2 linked regions of the Coturnix japonica genome follow. The protein of the gene in region 1 binds, or shares a complex with, the protein of each later gene. Links are inferred from orthologs where the notes say so. Each region holds a gene or a part of one and is shown on either strand. Other genes may lie near its edges.

Region 1 (7,818 bases):
TGCCTGCTGCCGCCATGCTTGCCGTTTCTGCTGAAAGTCTTGTAGCAGTGCTTCCTCTTCTGACAGCTCTTCCTCCTCCTCTGACATCTCCTTGCTCTCTACAGCAACTGGCACTACAGCATCTCCAAGGTCCTCTGGCATGTCAGGCTCCTGGGCTGGGTCACTGGGCTTGCCCAGCATCCAGGGATTTGCTTTGTTTGCTCCCACAGAGACAGGAGGGACGACGGCTGTAGAAGTGAGGTCCTCCTCAGGCATATCAGCTGGCTCCTCCTCAGGCAATTCCACCCGCACCTTCTGCATCAGCTCCTTGTTCCTGGCCAGCTGCTCTTGCATGGCCTTGCGAGCCTGGCATGGGATCGAGATGTTTCCAACACAGGCCAGAAAAAACATGCCCACTTACTTGCCCCGCTCTCAGCTGTCTTCCCCTTTCCCAAGCTGCACCTCACCTCCAGGTCATACTTGGCCATAATGGCCCGCGAGCGGGCCCATTTCCCCTTGTTTTGGTGTTTGAGACTCATCCGCTCCTGAGGCAGAGGCAAAGAGAAGCATCAGAAAGAACACTCTCAGGAGTAGGGACTTCCCAAACAATGAAGGAGAAGCAAGCAAGCAGCACCTCCATCCTGAGCTGATCCAGCTCTTCTAGCTTTGCCAAGGCAGCCTCAGGGTCTGACTTCTGCAGCATCTCAAAATCCTTTAAGGCCTTGCGTCTCTTGCTTTTCTTCAGCACACGATGGTACCTGCAGCACAAGAGCAGACAGTTGAGGAGTGAGACCTGGCACAGGCACCCAGCCTCTGCTTTGGCAAGGGAGCACTGTTCTGTGCATGAAGAAGCACAGCTTCCCGGCAACATTTCAACTTGTGACTCTCTGCTTCCCTCCACCCTTTAACCACTCTCTCTCAAGCATTGGGCCCCAGATCACCGAGCCCAGCAATGCTATAGCCTTACTTCTTGCTCTTGATCTTTTTCTCTCGACGAGCCTTGGCTTCATAGTAGGACTGCAGGACTCGAGCCTTCTGAAGCTCTGCTCGCCGCCGCTTGGCCTGCCAGCAAACACAGCGCAAGGGAAAGCATGAAGGAAGAAGCCTTCATAACCACAGTGCAGCAGAAGAAAGAAACACTCACCTCCTCCAAGCTCATTGCCTGCAGTGAGGCTTTCTCCTGTGGTGTCAGGAGCGGGTCTGTGATGGGCTGCTGTGTTTTGTGGAGCAGACCAAAGATCTCCTGCTCCAGGGGAGTTCGAGGCTGTTGGTGGGACAGAATAGGCAGTGAGACTAGACGAGACACAAATGACTGCAGGAAGAGACACCCACACACACCTTCCCATCCTTCCTGATGCCAGAGCACCCCCATAGGAGGGCACAAACAAGCCAAAGTCCCAGGCCCAACGGGGGACAAGGAGAAATCCTTGCACAGACAGAAGGGTGCTTGTTGAGCTGGGAGCTTGATAAAGACTGCCCTGACCTGGGAAAGCTCTCCAGGGATGAGTAACTCTCCTGAGAAGCAATGCAAACTTCAAGGGAACTTGTGTTCAACACTAGAAAAATAGCCAAAATTTATAGGTACACAGCCTTTTGTGAACCAAACCCTTCATCTCAAAGAGAAACGGCTGAGTGCTATGAGCAGGCACCTAGGTCAGGAGAGGGACTAGGAAACAACAGGCTTAGCTGATGTGCTGAGTGCTAAATAAAGGCAGGGGGGAAAACTGTGCCCAAGAGATGGCAATGATGGGCATGTGGCAGCACCCACCTTCCATGCTGAAACCACTTGCTCCAGGGGGGCAACTGCCACAATCTCCTCCTTCAGAGGGAAAACCAGCTGCTTTGCTCGGCGGTTCTGCAGTACAACTGGCTGCCACTTGCCAACATCTTTAGAGCTCTTGACATAGGCAGCCTCCCTCACTACCTGCAGATGAGAGCAAGAAAGAAAAAAAAGTGAGCAGAGAAGCTGATCTGTGGAACAAGACACGTCAGACAATAAGAGAGATGCAGATAGCACAGAGGGGCTAAAAGAGCGTCCCTTAAGGCTGGGATGCCTTCACTGTGCTGTTTGCCTGCAGCCCTGCATACCCGCTCTGCCTCCTCCTTGCTGAGCGGCAGCTCCACTGCTTTCTTCTGCTTCACTCTGCTGAACTCCTTCTTCACACCACTCAGGGCAGAGCGGCCATGGATGGGCTGCAGGAGCTCGGACAGGACAAGTTTCTCCCCGGCACCTACAAGAGACCTCGTGCATCAGCACCACCACGGTGCCACCGAGTGGGGCAGCACCATGGAGAGGCACCTTCACCCCAAAGCCCACCACAGCGTATCAGTGTTCTCCCCAGCAGATGGAGAGCATCCTCCTCCATAGGGGAAGCAGGGAGGGCCCCCACCTTTACAGCTAACGTTGAACTCGGACACCTGCGCACTGGGCTCGGAGCGCTCGGCCAGCTTCCTCCTGCCGGGACGATAAATACGACACGTTGAGTCACCGCTGGGAGCGCAGCGCCCCGCCACGTGCTGCCGCAGCAGCAGGAACTCGAAGCCCCGCACTCACCGCTTCCTCCCGGTGAGGGCACTGACCGCCTCCAGGAGCTGCTGGTGCCGCCGCTCTCCATCCTCCTGCTGCTGCCGCACCAAGCACACGGTCACCGGGGTCACCGCCTGAGCGGGTGAGGCCCGGCCCCGGCCCCACTCGCTGCTCCCACCAGACCCCGCGGATCAGCGGAGCGCCCGATGCCGGTGAGCGCAGCCCCGCCCCGCCCCGCGGATCCCGCTCACCTCCTCCTCCTCCTCCTCGCTGCCGCTCCCCGCCGCCTCGGCGCCCAGCCACTCCTCCGCCATGGCGTCGCAAAGTGCCGTAAAGCGCGCCGCTTCCGCCCCGCACGAGGAGCCGCACTTCCGCCCGCTCCGTGACGTCACGGCTGCCATGGCAGCGGGCGGAGCCGCGGCCGAACGGCGGCGTTAGGCCCACGGGGCCGCGCTGCGGGTGTGGCGGGCGAACTGCTGGCGAACTGCTGGCTGCAGCGGCTCGACGTGACGCTACGAGACAGGTTCGCCCTTTCCCTTTCCGTCCCGTTCCTCTTCGTCTCCTACCCGCCCTCCGGGGTCCCCGGCATCGCCCGGCCCCGCCCCCGCCACGTGCCGGGCCCGGCCCCCAGCCCCGCCCCCCCTTGTTCGCACCGGAGCGTCGGTAACAGCCGGAGATGGACACCGCGCCCGACCAATGGGAGAGCGAGAAGAGCAGCGGGGAGGCGGGGCGCCGAGCGGCCCTGGACCAATGGCGGGCCCGGCCGCTCCCACAGCGGCGTCGCGGGGCGTGGCGGCCCCTCCCGCGGCGCTGAGCTGCCGTCGGCCCGGTCTGGGGCTGCCGGCACCGCCCGGGGTGAGCGGGGCCGCGTCCGCTCCTCCTCCTCCTCCTCTCCCTTCCCTCGTCCCTTCCGTCCCGTCCCGTTTCCCGCGGGCCGGGGCCGCGCTCGTTGTGCCCGGGGCTTTCCCCAGCACACACCCAACCGCGGGTTGCCATAGCGACACCCCTGAGAAAGGAGGGGGATGGGGGGGTGATGTTGGCGTGACGACCCCCCCCCTCCCGTGCTGAGCCGCCCTCTCCTCTCCTCTCCTCTCCTCTCCTCTCCTCTCCTCGCAGCTCCCGACCCAGCACAGCCCGGCCCAGTCGGGCCCGACGATGCCGGGGGCGGCGGAGCGGCAGCGCCCGGCCGAGCGGCGGCCCCGTTGACGGCCCCGCCATGTCGGTGATGGTGGCGAGGAAGAAGGTGGTACGGAAATGGGAGAAGCTGCCGGGCAGGAACACCTTCTGCTGCGATGGCCGCATCATGATGGCCCGGCAGAAGGGCATCTTCTACCTGACGCTCTTCCTCATCCTTGGCACCTGTGCCCTCTTCTTCGCCTTCGAGTGAGTGCTGGGGGGGGACGAGGGGGGGGAGAGTTGGGTGGGGACCTGCTGGCAGCATGCTGCTGTGCTGGGGGGGGCCCGATGGGGCTTTGTGCCCTTCTTCCCATCACCGCGATGGCCTGTGGCCTTGGCAAAGAGGGAGGGGATGGGGCCCGGCGAGGCATCGATGCAGTCTGACAGCAGAGGGAGAGGGGTCTGCACCCATCCCACCACCCCAGAACCACTGGCAGCATGTGGTGAGGCCCTGCAGCCCTTACGGGTGGGCTCTGCCCAACGGATGGGACCTCTCCCCTTCCCAGGGCCATCTCTTGTGGGGGCAGCCTAGCTGTGTGCTGATCCCCCCAAAAAAATAGTCCGTAGCATGCGTTTGGCTGAGTGCTGCTGTTGTGTGAGGGGGCAGGACAGCTTTTTGGCCTGATCAGGAGACGTCAGCTTCTACAACAAGAGAACTTTCCTTCCTCAGTCTCCGTCAGCGTGTTTTTGTTGGTCTCAGAGCGGTGAAGTCCTGGTGTTGTGTAACACAAAAGCTCTTTAAGGCAGCAAGGTGGATGGAGGAACCTGTTTGTTCTTCTGGTTGTTCTCCCAAATCAATAGCCCAGGTGCCAGGTTGCCCCAGCCCAGAGAAATGGCCTCAGCTTCCTCTGGCCTGACATTGCCCTCTGTGTTATGGATGTGGCCTCAGAAGGGCTTTCTGGAACCCCAAGGAGACTCTCTCATGTCCCAGCCAACGGGTAGTGCCTGCTGTCAGGCTCCAGTTTGGTACCAGATTGGCTTTTCTGCTTAGTTGCTGCATGGCTTTGCAGCGAGCATCACTGTAACAGCTGTAACACAAGCTGCTGGGCTCCTGAAATGATTCCTGACTCAGTGTCATAGGTGAACAATGACACTGCTTCCTGATGATGCCCTATCCAAAAAATGGGGCTAAGACTTCCTGCCTTGCAGGAACAATTACTAAGTGTTAATACTCCTGAAGAACTTAGTGGCAGTGGTAATTGCTCCCGCTCCCTGCGGAGCCTGTCCCTAGTCTGTGCCTCTTTCTGCTTATAAAGTAGAAGTGCCCTATGTCCATAGCCCTGCACGCGCTGGTAGTGACAGCAGTGCAGCCAGGAGCAGAACGATGTGGGGTTGTGCAGGTGAGGGAGAGGCTGGAGAAACCCAAAAGATTGATGTGGTGATCTCGAAGCACGATGCCTTAAAGCGCTCTGTTTGAGCGAGATGCTTTTGTTATGAAATTGTCGGTGGCTTTTTGTATGTGGGAGAGGACTGCAATGTTGTCTTCCAAACCAGAAACATTCCACAGTGTTTCTGTTTTGCTAACCCTGCTGCGGAGGCTGACAGTCTGCTGCTGGTGCCCTGGTTACCCTTTGTGTTGTCTGTGTGCGTTAGGGTGCTCCAGCCAGAGGGCCTTGGCTTTCATCTATCTGTTCCGCTGGGTGTGTTACTCATTCCTTTCAGATTCAGATTTGGCATTTGCACAGAAATCCACCATTCCCCCCCCCCCAAGTTTGTTCTACAGTGGACCAGTTGGGGTCGGTAGGGTTCGATTGCAAAGACAAGCAGCCTGCTGGGTGGAGGAGTCCTTTCAGTCCTTGTGTGCTGACTGCAGGGTGCCTCTTTGGAGCGCTTGTTCCTTTCAGCTGAATCACTTGCGCAGTCACACCTTGGCTGAGTGAGGCTGGAGGTGCCTGCAGCCAGCCAGCACCGCAGCTCAGTGCTCACCGCCGTGCCGCGCTGGCTCCGATTACAAACGCCGTGGTGTGGATCTGTTGCCGACTGGCATCACACGTCACGAGATAAGCTGCTCGCAGAAGGAGTCCTCCCCAGCCACCAAATGACAGCCTTTCTGCTTTGGCTGCTGCTGGTGGCTTCCCACCCCCTCCACCCCCCACCCAGTCTGCCGCATCTCTGCTTCAGCAGAGCCAGTGAGCGGGTGGTCCGATGTTTTTCTTCTCTTGACCTCAAAGCTGCACATAGGAATGCTGTTAGAGGGGAGAGGAGGAGGCCCAGAGGATGGAACCGGCTGCTGTACCTGGAGATTGGCTCCTCTGTCCTGATGGAGCAGAGGCACCAGGCACCAAGCCCAAGGGCAGAGCACAGCTCCTACTGCTCCCAGGCTGAGCTGGTCCCCGTGGGGTCGATCCCTGTTGTTTCACTGGGTTTGCTCTACAGCCATAATGTGTTAGATAAAATTGTGTTTAATTGGTGTTATTTGAGGCAATTATTGGGTGTGCAAGCTGCTGTGCTCGAGTGCTTGGTGCCCAGCTGTGCCCACAGGGTTGGATGCAATGGGAAGGACGGGTGAAGCCCTACTGAAACGGCTTTGGGAAGGACAGGAAGGGATAGAATGTTCCCTCTGACTGTGCAGGTTTCTCTTTGCGGTTTGCTGGTGCCCTTGCAAGGGCTGTCCTGCAGTGACAGGCACCCACTTCTCTTTTTCTTTTGTTTTCAGCTTTCCAGCACAAGCACTCACTGTTTGTAAACGTTACAGCAAGATAGTGCCCTCCATGCCAGGCTCCTGGCTGTGGGAAGGGGCTGCTGTTTGCTTTTCTGATAACCGAGCTCGTTTATCTTTATGGTTTTTTTCCTACATTCTTAGCTATGTAGAGATTAAAACGTCTTTGTTTTTTGATAAGTTGAGGAGCCAGGGCTGACCCTTCTTGTGACTTTGCCTTCTTTTCGTAAACCCCAGAGATTCAGGTTTTTGTGCTGTTTGGAGGTGCAGCTGAGATAGCTTTCCTCTCTGCTTTTTCCCCTCTCTTCTTGTTACGTGTTGTCCAAAGCTGCACAGGAGCCGATCGGTGCTTGTTAGTGTTGTCATGCTCTCTGTACTCTGAACTTGATGGCACGCAGGGCTCGGTTCATGCTGCTTGTAAGGACATGTGTCTGTGTGGAGCTGCCCCTGTGTTTCTGCATTACCTGCCCTTTCTCTTGCACTTTGCAGGTTACTCTTCTGCTCCACCAGCATTCCCCAGGCAGACCCTGGTGCTGCCTAATTGCTGATGTGGGTTTGGGTAGATTGGGAGCACCCAGCGTGTGCTCTCAGTGTGACTCTACTCCAATACGTGGTTTTGCTGTCCCTGCTGACTGATGGGGATGGTTTCTCCCAGCAGCTCCAGCTGTGCCGCAGCATGGTGAATGACCCCCAGCCCAAAGTGCTGTGCTGCAAACACTGCTCAGGTTTTCCCCTCCCTCTAGGCTGTGCTAGATGTGCTGGCTGCAGCACGGCTTCCCAGGTAGCCTCAATGTCACCAGGATAGCAAGCCTTAAACTTGCAGCACCTCCATCTGTTGCTTCTAGCTGCTCCTCCCTCCCCTTTCTAATGGTCTCTTTGTTTCAGTCTTTCTCACCCCCCTCCCATGGCATGTTGTAATAGTGCTGTTATTGTCTGATATTAGATGACAAAATGCTCCAGAACACAGATACTGCTCTGAGAGGAGGAGCCATATCCTGACATCCCAACAGTATGTCTCTGTTGGCGCTTTGCTTTCCCAAACAAAAGATCTTTAAAATGTCTGTTACTTAGCAGTGTAAATGAATTACCAAGCTTAATCACGCTGCAAAACATGAACTGAAGAATCCCAGCACAGTGAGTACCTGGCTGCCTCCTCGTCCCTGCTGAGCCGGGACCCAGCCAGCTCTGCATGGTGCTGTTTCCCTTGCTGCAGCGGAGAGGACAGTCGTGCACTCATCTTCCATCTCCTAAAATCGCAGCCTTCTTCCCATTCCCATGCCACGTGCTGTGCTAGCAGCATGGTGCAGGCTCGGCTCTGCCTCCCCACACTGCTGCTTTCCTTGCAGAGGTGCCCAGGAGGTGGTCGGCAAGCAGCAGATCTTATCCATGCTGGTGCTTGTGCACAGGAACTCTGCTGTAAAGCTTCATTCTGTGCCTGGAGCACACCCAGCACACATCACGTGCTTGCAGGTAGTAA
Region 2 (8,359 bases), on another chromosome or scaffold:
GTTATGTGCCTGGCCAGACAGCCCTTGCTGACAAGCTCTCAAAAAACATGTGTTGGCCTGTTGAAAAGGCCCCAGTGTTGACTGACAGACAATCGAAGTGACAAATTGTTTCATTGTACTTGGCAGGGAGAGCGCGGTATTAGATAATTACAGCGAGGGGGGAAGCGGCAGGTCGCAGGTCAGAAGACACGTCTGACCCCATTTTCTGAATGCCCTGAAAGGAGCCTCCTCCGGGAGAGCAGCCCTGATTAACAGCTAACGATGCCGGAGGGCAGCAAGCATCATCGCCCATCCAACCTATGGGTCCGGTCTCACCCTTAGACCCAGTTGGCAGCATCACCCTGGGGAGATGTGTCACTGGCAGCACAAACTGGCAGGAAAAAGCTCTTTATTTTTAATGCAACATCCTTCAAACTTCTCACTTGCTCCATCAGTAGGTGTGTGAAACTTGATTCCAAAATAATGAGACAGATAGCTCAGTTTTCAGGTATTCATCATCTTCATTTTGGGAGCAGACGTGGATTATTTTGCCAGGAAGCACTGCAAAGTGTTGCATGGCTCCTGCTCAACGACAGGCATTTCATTGCATGAAAACCCCTCTGAATTGCTCTCCAAAACACCACTCTCCAAACTTAATTCAAACCATACAGGAAGCCCCGATGTAGGATCTTTCAGGCCTATAAAATGAAACAAATTGGCTTTGCGAGCATATCTCCCAATCTGAGCCATGTAAATTCATTTGGTCCTCTTGGATCCATACTGCATTAGGTGGCCTGAAAGGCTCCTTTGTTCCACAGTCCCCCAGTCCCCTCCACCGACCCAGGTGCTGCTCTGTCACAATGGGATGGAGGGGTCCCTGCATGCAGCAGCCCCTTGGATGCTCCCAGCAGCCCAGCACCAAGGGAAGGGGAACAGCAGCAACATTTGGTGTTTCTCCTAGGAAAGGTCTGCAGTCCATGGATCACAGATGGTTTGATTTACCAATAACAAACACAATCCTGTTCCTTGCTCTTGCCTTTTCTGTGTAACACTGAGTGTGGTACCCACCAGCACAGCTTCAAATTACCCTCCCCAGGCACAGGAACCTCCTCCTGCCCACGTGTGTTCAGTGTCCCATGGGAACAAGGCAGCCTGGGATGCCACATGCTGGTTTGCAGCTCCTCCTTCAGTGCCTCTCAGAAACACCAAGGTCTTGCTTAAGCCTGGAAGAACAACATTCTGCCCAAGATGAGACATTGCTTTGCTTTTCTTTAGTATTTCATGCACGCTCGCTATATAAGTTTAACACGCTTGTTCTGATTTAGAGATGGTGCATTGGAATAAGCTGTTAAAATTACGAACTTCTTACGCTTGGTGTCATAAAACACTGAAACAGTGAATGGATCTTTCAGAAAGAGGCACATTACACATTCAGTGTTGGGCACCTCAGTACAAAAAGGACATGGAGGTATTGGAGCAGGTCCAGAGAAGGGCAATGAGGCTTGTGAAGGGCTTGGAAAATTGGCCCTATGAGGAGAAGCTGAGGGAGCTGGGGCTGTGGAAAAGGAGGCTGAAGGGAAACCTGATTGCTCTCCTCCAGTAACTTAAAGTGCTTACAGTGAGAGCGGGGCTGGTCTCTTCTCACTGTTGACAGGACGAGGGGAAATGGCCTCAAGTTGCACCCAGGTAAGTTTAGGTTGGAAGTTAGGAAACACTTCTTTACAGAAAGGGAAGTTAAACACTGGAATAGGCTCCCCAGAGAGGTGGTTGAGTTGCCACCCCTGGATGTGTATAAGAGCCATTTGGATGTGGTGCTCAGAGATATGATTTAGCATAGGGTTGTTAGAGTTAAGGTACTATGGTTAGGCTGCGGTTGGACTTGATGATCTTTGAGGTCTTTCCCAACCTGAGTAATTCTATGATTACATGGTTACCATTTCCAGGTTCAGCCTCCATGTTAGGTCAGCAAACCCAGGAGGTTCCCTCTGGTTACAGCATTTGCCAGCTTTTTTCACTCCAAAAACTCAACAGTGGGTATCTGTACCTGAAGATCCAGACACCCTGAAAATAGATATTTTTTGTTTCTATAAACTCCAGTAAAATCGTAGCTGGATCAAAGTTTGCATTCATCCTTCTAGAATATTTCATATGCACATAAAACATCTGAAACAATTTTAACATCACAATCTTAACTGCTTTCACATTGCAAGCAGCTAAAGGTTAAGGAAACGCATTCCATCTGGTGCAGCATTTGAAGCAGATCATTCCTGAGAGGACTTTCAGGCAGGCAATGGGGAATGGGCTGCAGGAATGGGGGCTCAGCTCATGCCACATTTTGTCCCCACGCTGCTCCAACTGACTGGGCGCTTCCTGCACAAGGCACAGGGGTTGTTTGTTCAAGCAGACCCACTAGGTGTTTATTAGTCTTCATTATGGAGTGCTAGAGGGTTAATTAGTTCAGGCTGCTCCTATTGGAGGGGGGGGGGGGGACAGGAGGGGGGTGCACAGAGATCACAGCAGCTGATAGCCGGGTTCCTGGGACACTCAGCACTCAGATTACATTTAGATCTCTAATGTCAGATCTCTATTTGTATTTTTCTCTGTTTCCTTTTTATCTCCTCCCCGAGCAATTTAAAGGTGTCATTATCACATTTGCAAACTGCTTAGCACAAAGAAGAGCCCTCCTTTGGGCTAGAGGGGTGCCTCTTCCCTAGCTGCCACCCCTGGGCTGTGTGCTGGGGACACTGACAGCTCTGTTTACTGTCTTTTATCATCACAACATTGTTAGTTTTGTCTGGAGCGTGACACGGCGGCTGCTTATTATGCCCTGTTAAAACTAAACCCAATAAATCATTCTTGTATTTGTTTCCTCCGTGTTGATTTGTGGCGTGGTCGGCAGGGGACAACAAACGCTTCATCAATCTCAGCAAAGCATTGAACCCTACAGATCAGAGCCCACGCAGCACTCCAGCACTTGGGGCTTTGGAGGCATGGGGTGCTGGAGAATAACCCTGACCACCAGCACGATGCCTCAGCCATTAACTGCCCTTGCATTAAGGCCTGATTAACGTAGCTTTAGCTTCCCATTGACCTCAGTACATGCACATTTTGCCTGCTTTGTTCAGAACTCTGCTCCCTTTGGAATTAGTTACATTCTGTGGGATAGGGGTAACCTGCAGCCTCACAAACCTCATCCACCCATTGCTACCCAACAGCTGCAAGCCCTTGTACCAAACTCATAACAGCTACAACCCAAACTCATAACATAACACCTCCCTATGGAGGGATGAAGTTACACCAGCCAAGAGATATCCCAATGCAGAACTGCTTTGTTAGCAAAGCAAGGCTCTGCTCTTATAAGGCAGGATCCATCCAGATCCAGCAGTCACTGCTGTGCAGTGGGTGCTCGGTGTCCCAATGGACACCCAGCACCCAACCAGGGGTCACTGTATGTGTCTGAACCCAGGCTCTGGATCCCCATCCTACATCTGTACTTACAAACACCCCTCCCATTGATAACGCATTGAATCTCCCTTCCAATTCACACAGCGTTTTATACGCCCTATATATATGACTAGAGACCGCTCTCAGCGCGCATGCGCGGATAGGCGGGGCGCGGCGAGGGGGCGTATCCGGACTGTGCCATGTGATCTGCAAGCGGGGGGGAGCGGGGCTGTACCACTCTACGGACGTCAGGGGGTGTGCGTGAGGTCACGAGTGCTGTGCGTCAGCTGCGATTGGTGGGACGGGTAGCGAGTGCTCATGCGTGAGCTTGACGCTCTGTTTCGCTCCGGCGCGTGCGCATGCGCACTGTCTCTCTCTCTGGGCCTGATGGGGGCGACGGCGCATGCGCGGAATATCGCTTCCGCCTTTTCCTTGGCCCGGAGCTGACCGGACGCGTTTAGCGCGGTGTGAACGGAGCGGCGGAGCCCGGAGGAGCGGAGCGAGGCGGCCGCGGTGCCATGAGGCCGCAACAAGCGCCCGTGTCGGGCAAAGTGTTCATCCAGCGTGATTACAGCGGGGGGACCCGCTGTCAGTTCCAGAGCAAGTTCCCGGCCGAGCTGGAGAACCGGGTAAAGCGGATCCCGTGCTTTATATTTACCCCCCCGCCATTGTATTGCTTTACAGACCCCCCCCATGGACAGTGCTGCATGAAGCACTAAGGAATTACTGCTTGTCTCTCATGCTCTAGCAGCCCGTTGTGTGTTAAGGAAGCTGCTTTTGTTTGTTGGTGGAATTACAGTTCCTTTAAATGCTTTGTGTTCAGGTTGTGTTGCAATTCAGGCTTGATATAACAACAATGATACAATTACAATTCAGGCTTGATATAACAACATCACAACAAAGAGTTTCAGGCCTGTAACTCACAGCACCCTCCACACTTTGAGCACACCTAAGTGGAAGATGGCAGTAGGTGATATTACTATGGGGAGGGGGGAAAAAAGACAAAGTGGGAATAAAAACAAGCAAGGGCTGTTATTAGAAGGTACTGCTGAGTTCTGAGCTGTGCTGGTTAAACCTGATTTCTCTTTCAGATCGATAGGCAGCAGTTTGAAGAGACTGTCCGGACACTGAATAACCTTTATGCTGAAGCTGAGAAGCTTGGGGGCCAGTCATACCTTGAGGGGTGTCTGGCCTGTCTGACTGCCTATACTATCTTCTTGTGCATGGAAACACATTATGAAAAGGTAGGTTTCTTTTGTTTTCCTTCTTTCTTAGAAAGTGGTATATCCTACAGACTTCAGATGCTTTATTTCCTGGTGGGTTTTCTGTGACTTGTACCTCAGTTGTATGAATTCCATATAGACTCTGGATCTTACTACGGGGTGACTTAACATCTACAGACAAGTCCGTCTGATATATGAGTTACCTGAGCAGTGTAACATTTTCTGTACAGAACAGTTTCTGTCTCTGGTGGGTATCGGTGCTCTCATGCTGGGTTCTCCTAATATTGTTATATCGGTGGTATTGCTGAGCTATGGCTCTAAGACGGGAAAACTTAATTAAGAAATCTAGTTTCATAAATCACAGAATCACAGAATGACCTGGGTTGGAAAGGACCTCAAGGATCATGTAGTTCCAACCCCCCTGCCTAGCAGGGCCACCAAACATACGCCTTTACTAGATCAGGTTGCCCAGGGCCCTGTCCAACCTGGTCATGAACACCTCCAAGGATGGGGCATCCACAGCCTCCCTGGGCAGCCTGTTCCAGGGCCTAACCACTCTCCTAGTGAATAAACTGTGACTTCCCTGCTGTTCTATTATCAGGTTCTAAAGAAAATTGCCAAGTTCATTCAGGAACAGAACGAGAAGATCTATGCTCCTCAGGGCCTCCTTCTGACCGATCCCATTGAAAGAGGACTAAGAGTTGTATCCTTGTGTGGTTTCTAAGATTATTTCTTAATTCTTTAATAATATGGTATCCTCTAGTCATGCTTGATCTGTGATACTGCGAAATACATGATCAGTCTTGTTACTCTCAGGTATGTGCTGTTCTTTGAGCAGATAAGTTTATTTCTGCCCTGTTGTGGAGCTTTTGCTGAGATTTAGGAGGAGATGGCAAGGTTCACAAGCTCTTTGTATGCAGCATCTTGTGTTCTTGTTGTCAGAACAATCCTGAGCTGCCATAGGTCGATCTGATCTGACAAGGCAGGTGAGCTGTTGTGTTTGTTTTGTAGCTCTTGAGTAAGCAGCTATGAAGCAGAAAGATCAAAAGTTCTAATATCATAATGATTTTTTCACTTTCATTTTTGTAAACTTCTTATAGTATATTTTCCTAACAGCCTTTCTACACAGATTGAAATTACCATTTATGAAGACAGAGGCATGAGCAGTGGAAGATAAAACTGTGGAGTCTCAGGTACATATCAGCATTACAGTAGATGCCAATCTCAGCTTCCTTTATGGTGCTCAGAGTGGTAGACTCTTCTGCTGAAACAGAATGTTTATCCAGCTACTGCATGTCATCAATGACTTTTTACTTAAGTCTTGTGTGGTGTAGGTTTTCTGAATGTGTGGTTAATTTCATGCTACTCTCAGTTCAAACAATAACAGATTTGACTTAAACAGTCAAGATTGGAATTTGGTAAAATATACATAAACTGAACTTGCACTGTATCAAGCCCAGAATGGCTTTCTGTATTTGAAGAGTCTTGATTTTTCACAAAGCTTTTCTGGCATAAGTCTCTACCCTTTCTGAGAAGTAATACTTCCTAATTGATGGTGCTTTACTGTTCTTCCTATTATGCTGTGAAAGATGCAGCTTTTCTTGAATGTTTTTAGAGGTACCTAAAAGCTTTTGTGTTTAAAGCATCTATGAAAAGGTCATAACCCATGTTAAGAATCACCTTGTATTTTGCCTGGCAATCAGTTCTAACATGTAACTTCTTTTCTAGCAGACAGCTCAACAGTGGACTTGCTGTATCAGTTCCCCTACCTCCTACTTTAGAGCATCATTCCTCTTTCTGCTGCCAGATCCACAGTGCCATTTTCTACAGGGACTGACTTCCTAAAACTACTCCACGTGGTGTGACCCAGCTGGTCAGCATTCATTTTGTGGCGAATTATTGAGCCTTGAGATCACTTTTAAGTTCCTAAAGGAAACGCAGAAGTGGTGAAGCTGCATATTCTTCTGACAGAACCGCATTAACCCAACAGAAGTTGGCTCTAGTCATGTAAATGTGGTGCCGTTCCTCCCCACTTCTTAAATCTTTCTGATTGGGCTTTGGAAACCTACAAGTCAGAGTGGAATTTTCCAGAAGAAAGGCTTTCCCTCGAGGTCAGTATTGCAGTGAGGGGATACGCAGTGCCTCTTCCCAGTGCAAAATGACTCAAGGCAATGAGCGTTGGAAGCGTCCTGTACTGATTCTTATGGAAAAACTAGAAGGCAAAAAATGTTTCTCGTTTTAATGTTTTGGTTATTCCTAGAAGAGAGGGACTTTATTCCTGGTGTTTTTTCTACTGCTGTGTATGTGCTGTTGTATGTCAGTGCTGAGCAGAAGAGGGAGAGTCTATAAAACAGGAAGTACAATAAAATGGATGCTGAACCAATAAACATAACTCTTCCCCTTCTCTGATTAATACGTGAAGTGTAAAACTGTTTCTTTATGAATTTATTATAACTTATAGGAAAACACTGATTCGACAGAGCTGTTGTGTGGGATGGTCTCATCACTCTTTGCCTGCTGGCGCACTATTGAGCTGTGTGTTATTTCCTCTCTTTTTGCATTGACATTCCTCAGCAATACCTAAAGCACGTTCCTAGGAACCAGGTTTGGGTTCATTCTTTTCTCTTTGCTCTTCTCAAGGAAAAATATGTTCAGAATTGAGCCATGATCCAATTATAGAAGGAATTCAAGAGCTTAGGAATAATATAGGAGAGATGGAGTGTTTTGGCTTTTGGTGGTGCTGTAGGTGCTACTGCGTCTGAAATTCCAGCCTTGTTCCTCAGCCAGTAACTTCTGTTTTGTGGGGTTTTTTGTTTTAATTTAATATTCTAACTGTATAAAACTTGTTTTCTAAGCTGTGGTTGCCTTTCATGTTTGTTGCGATACTGGCAGAAGTACTAATGGATCAGTAAATTTTTTCTTAAACCGTGTCTGTGGCCTGTTCAGTCGCGCTGTTTTGAGGTGTTTTGATGCTAAAAGCACATCCACAAGGCCTAGCAGGGCCGCACTGCTGCACCCCCTACGGCCGCCATTTTGTCATGGCTTGCGCCTGCGCTAGTGCAGAACATCCGGGTCGCGCTGTGCGCCTGCGCAGTGGAGCGGCGGCTTGTTGTAATGGCGGCGGCGGGCGGTGAGGAGCCGGACTCGGACGATGGCAGCGAGGAGCTGGTTCTTACCCCACTGCAGCTCATCCGCAGCCTGGAGCAGGTAGAGCGGGACAGGGATGAGCCCCGAGGGGACTTTTAGACCATCGGCAGCTGGAGCTGTCCGAGGAAGGAGCGGGGAGGATGACGGTCAGGCCTGTGGGCCCGCTGGGCGGGAAGGGGCGATGTGGGGACGGGGTCCCGGTGGTCGGTAGGAACTGTGTGGGCCTTTATCACATCGTGCTTCCTCCTAGGCCTGGATGAACGAGAAGTTTGCCCCCGAGCTGCTGGAGAGCAAACCGGAGATCATTGAGTGCGTGGTGGAGCAGCTGGACCACATGGTGTGTGCTATGGAGGGGGTGCTCTTCTGACTATTTACAATGCTTGTTTGCTGAGCATAGCGTTGGGAAATTCACTTTTTATTTCCCTTGTGAGCTAATCGGGCTTCTTGCTCTCTATTTTTATTGTTTGCTGTTTCAGCCTTTTCAGTTTTCTTTGCCTTTCTTTGCAGGAGGCAAACTTAAAACGGGCAAAGAAAGGAGACCTGAAGGTCAGCATCCACCGCATGGA

What was found.
Region 2: the proteins of ZDHHC9 (region 1) and GOLGA7 are in contact, whole or in part, in a cryo-EM structure (PDB 8HF3), measured with the Homo sapiens proteins. The link is inferred for Coturnix japonica from reciprocal best matches to the Homo sapiens genes ZDHHC9 and GOLGA7. Residues at the interface, in NP_001008223.1 of Homo sapiens: Phe78, Ala81, Arg85, Ile94, Pro95, Leu98, Asp100, Glu101, Phe104, Ile105, Phe129, Gln130, Ile131, Asn132, Ile146, Pro149, Pro150, Arg182, Tyr183, Leu186, Tyr274, Lys281, Cys284, Glu285, Leu287, Cys288, Gly289, Pro290, Leu291, Pro292; in NP_001002296.1 of Homo sapiens: Lys11, Phe13, Gln15, Tyr18, Ser19, Ser20, Gly21, Thr22, Ala57, Glu58, Leu60, Ser64, Tyr65, Gly68, Cys72, Ala75, Tyr76, Thr77, Phe79, Leu80, Tyr86, Glu87, Leu90, Ile116, Arg118, Gly119, Arg121, Val122.

The regions. Positions count from the first base shown.
Region 1 is NC_029519.1:1,575,489-1,583,306, forward strand, and holds the start of ZDHHC9 (palmitoyltransferase ZDHHC9), read left to right. Parts: upstream 1-2,920; 5' UTR 2,921-3,029; intron 3,030-3,274; exon of another isoform or gene 3,275-3,361; intron 3,362-3,622; 5' UTR 3,623-3,722; coding exon 3,723-3,889; intron 3,890-7,818. Other genes in the region: UTP14A (U3 small nucleolar RNA-associated protein 14 homolog A), read right to left, coding at 1-345, 447-524, 614-737, 947-1,041, 1,124-1,243, 1,748-1,903, 2,068-2,210, 2,370-2,434 and 2 more. UniProt on the Homo sapiens protein: Palmitoyltransferase that catalyzes the addition of palmitate onto various protein substrates, such as ADRB2, GSDMD, HRAS, NRAS and CGAS. The ZDHHC9-GOLGA7 complex is a palmitoyltransferase specific for HRAS and NRAS.
Region 2 is NC_029537.1:3,951,187-3,959,545, forward strand, and holds GOLGA7 (golgin subfamily A member 7), read left to right. Parts: upstream 1-3,752; 5' UTR 3,753-3,941; coding exon 3,942-4,052; intron 4,053-4,514; coding exon 4,515-4,667; intron 4,668-5,247; coding exon 5,248-5,349; intron 5,350-5,775; coding exon 5,776-5,823; 3' UTR 5,824-5,839; intron 5,840-6,374; exon of another isoform or gene 6,375-6,377; 3' UTR 6,378-7,576; downstream 7,577-8,359. Other genes in the region: GINS4 (DNA replication complex GINS protein SLD5), read left to right, coding at 7,761-7,853, 8,044-8,130, 8,301-8,359. UniProt on the Homo sapiens protein: May be involved in protein transport from Golgi to cell surface. The ZDHHC9-GOLGA7 complex is a palmitoyltransferase specific for HRAS and NRAS.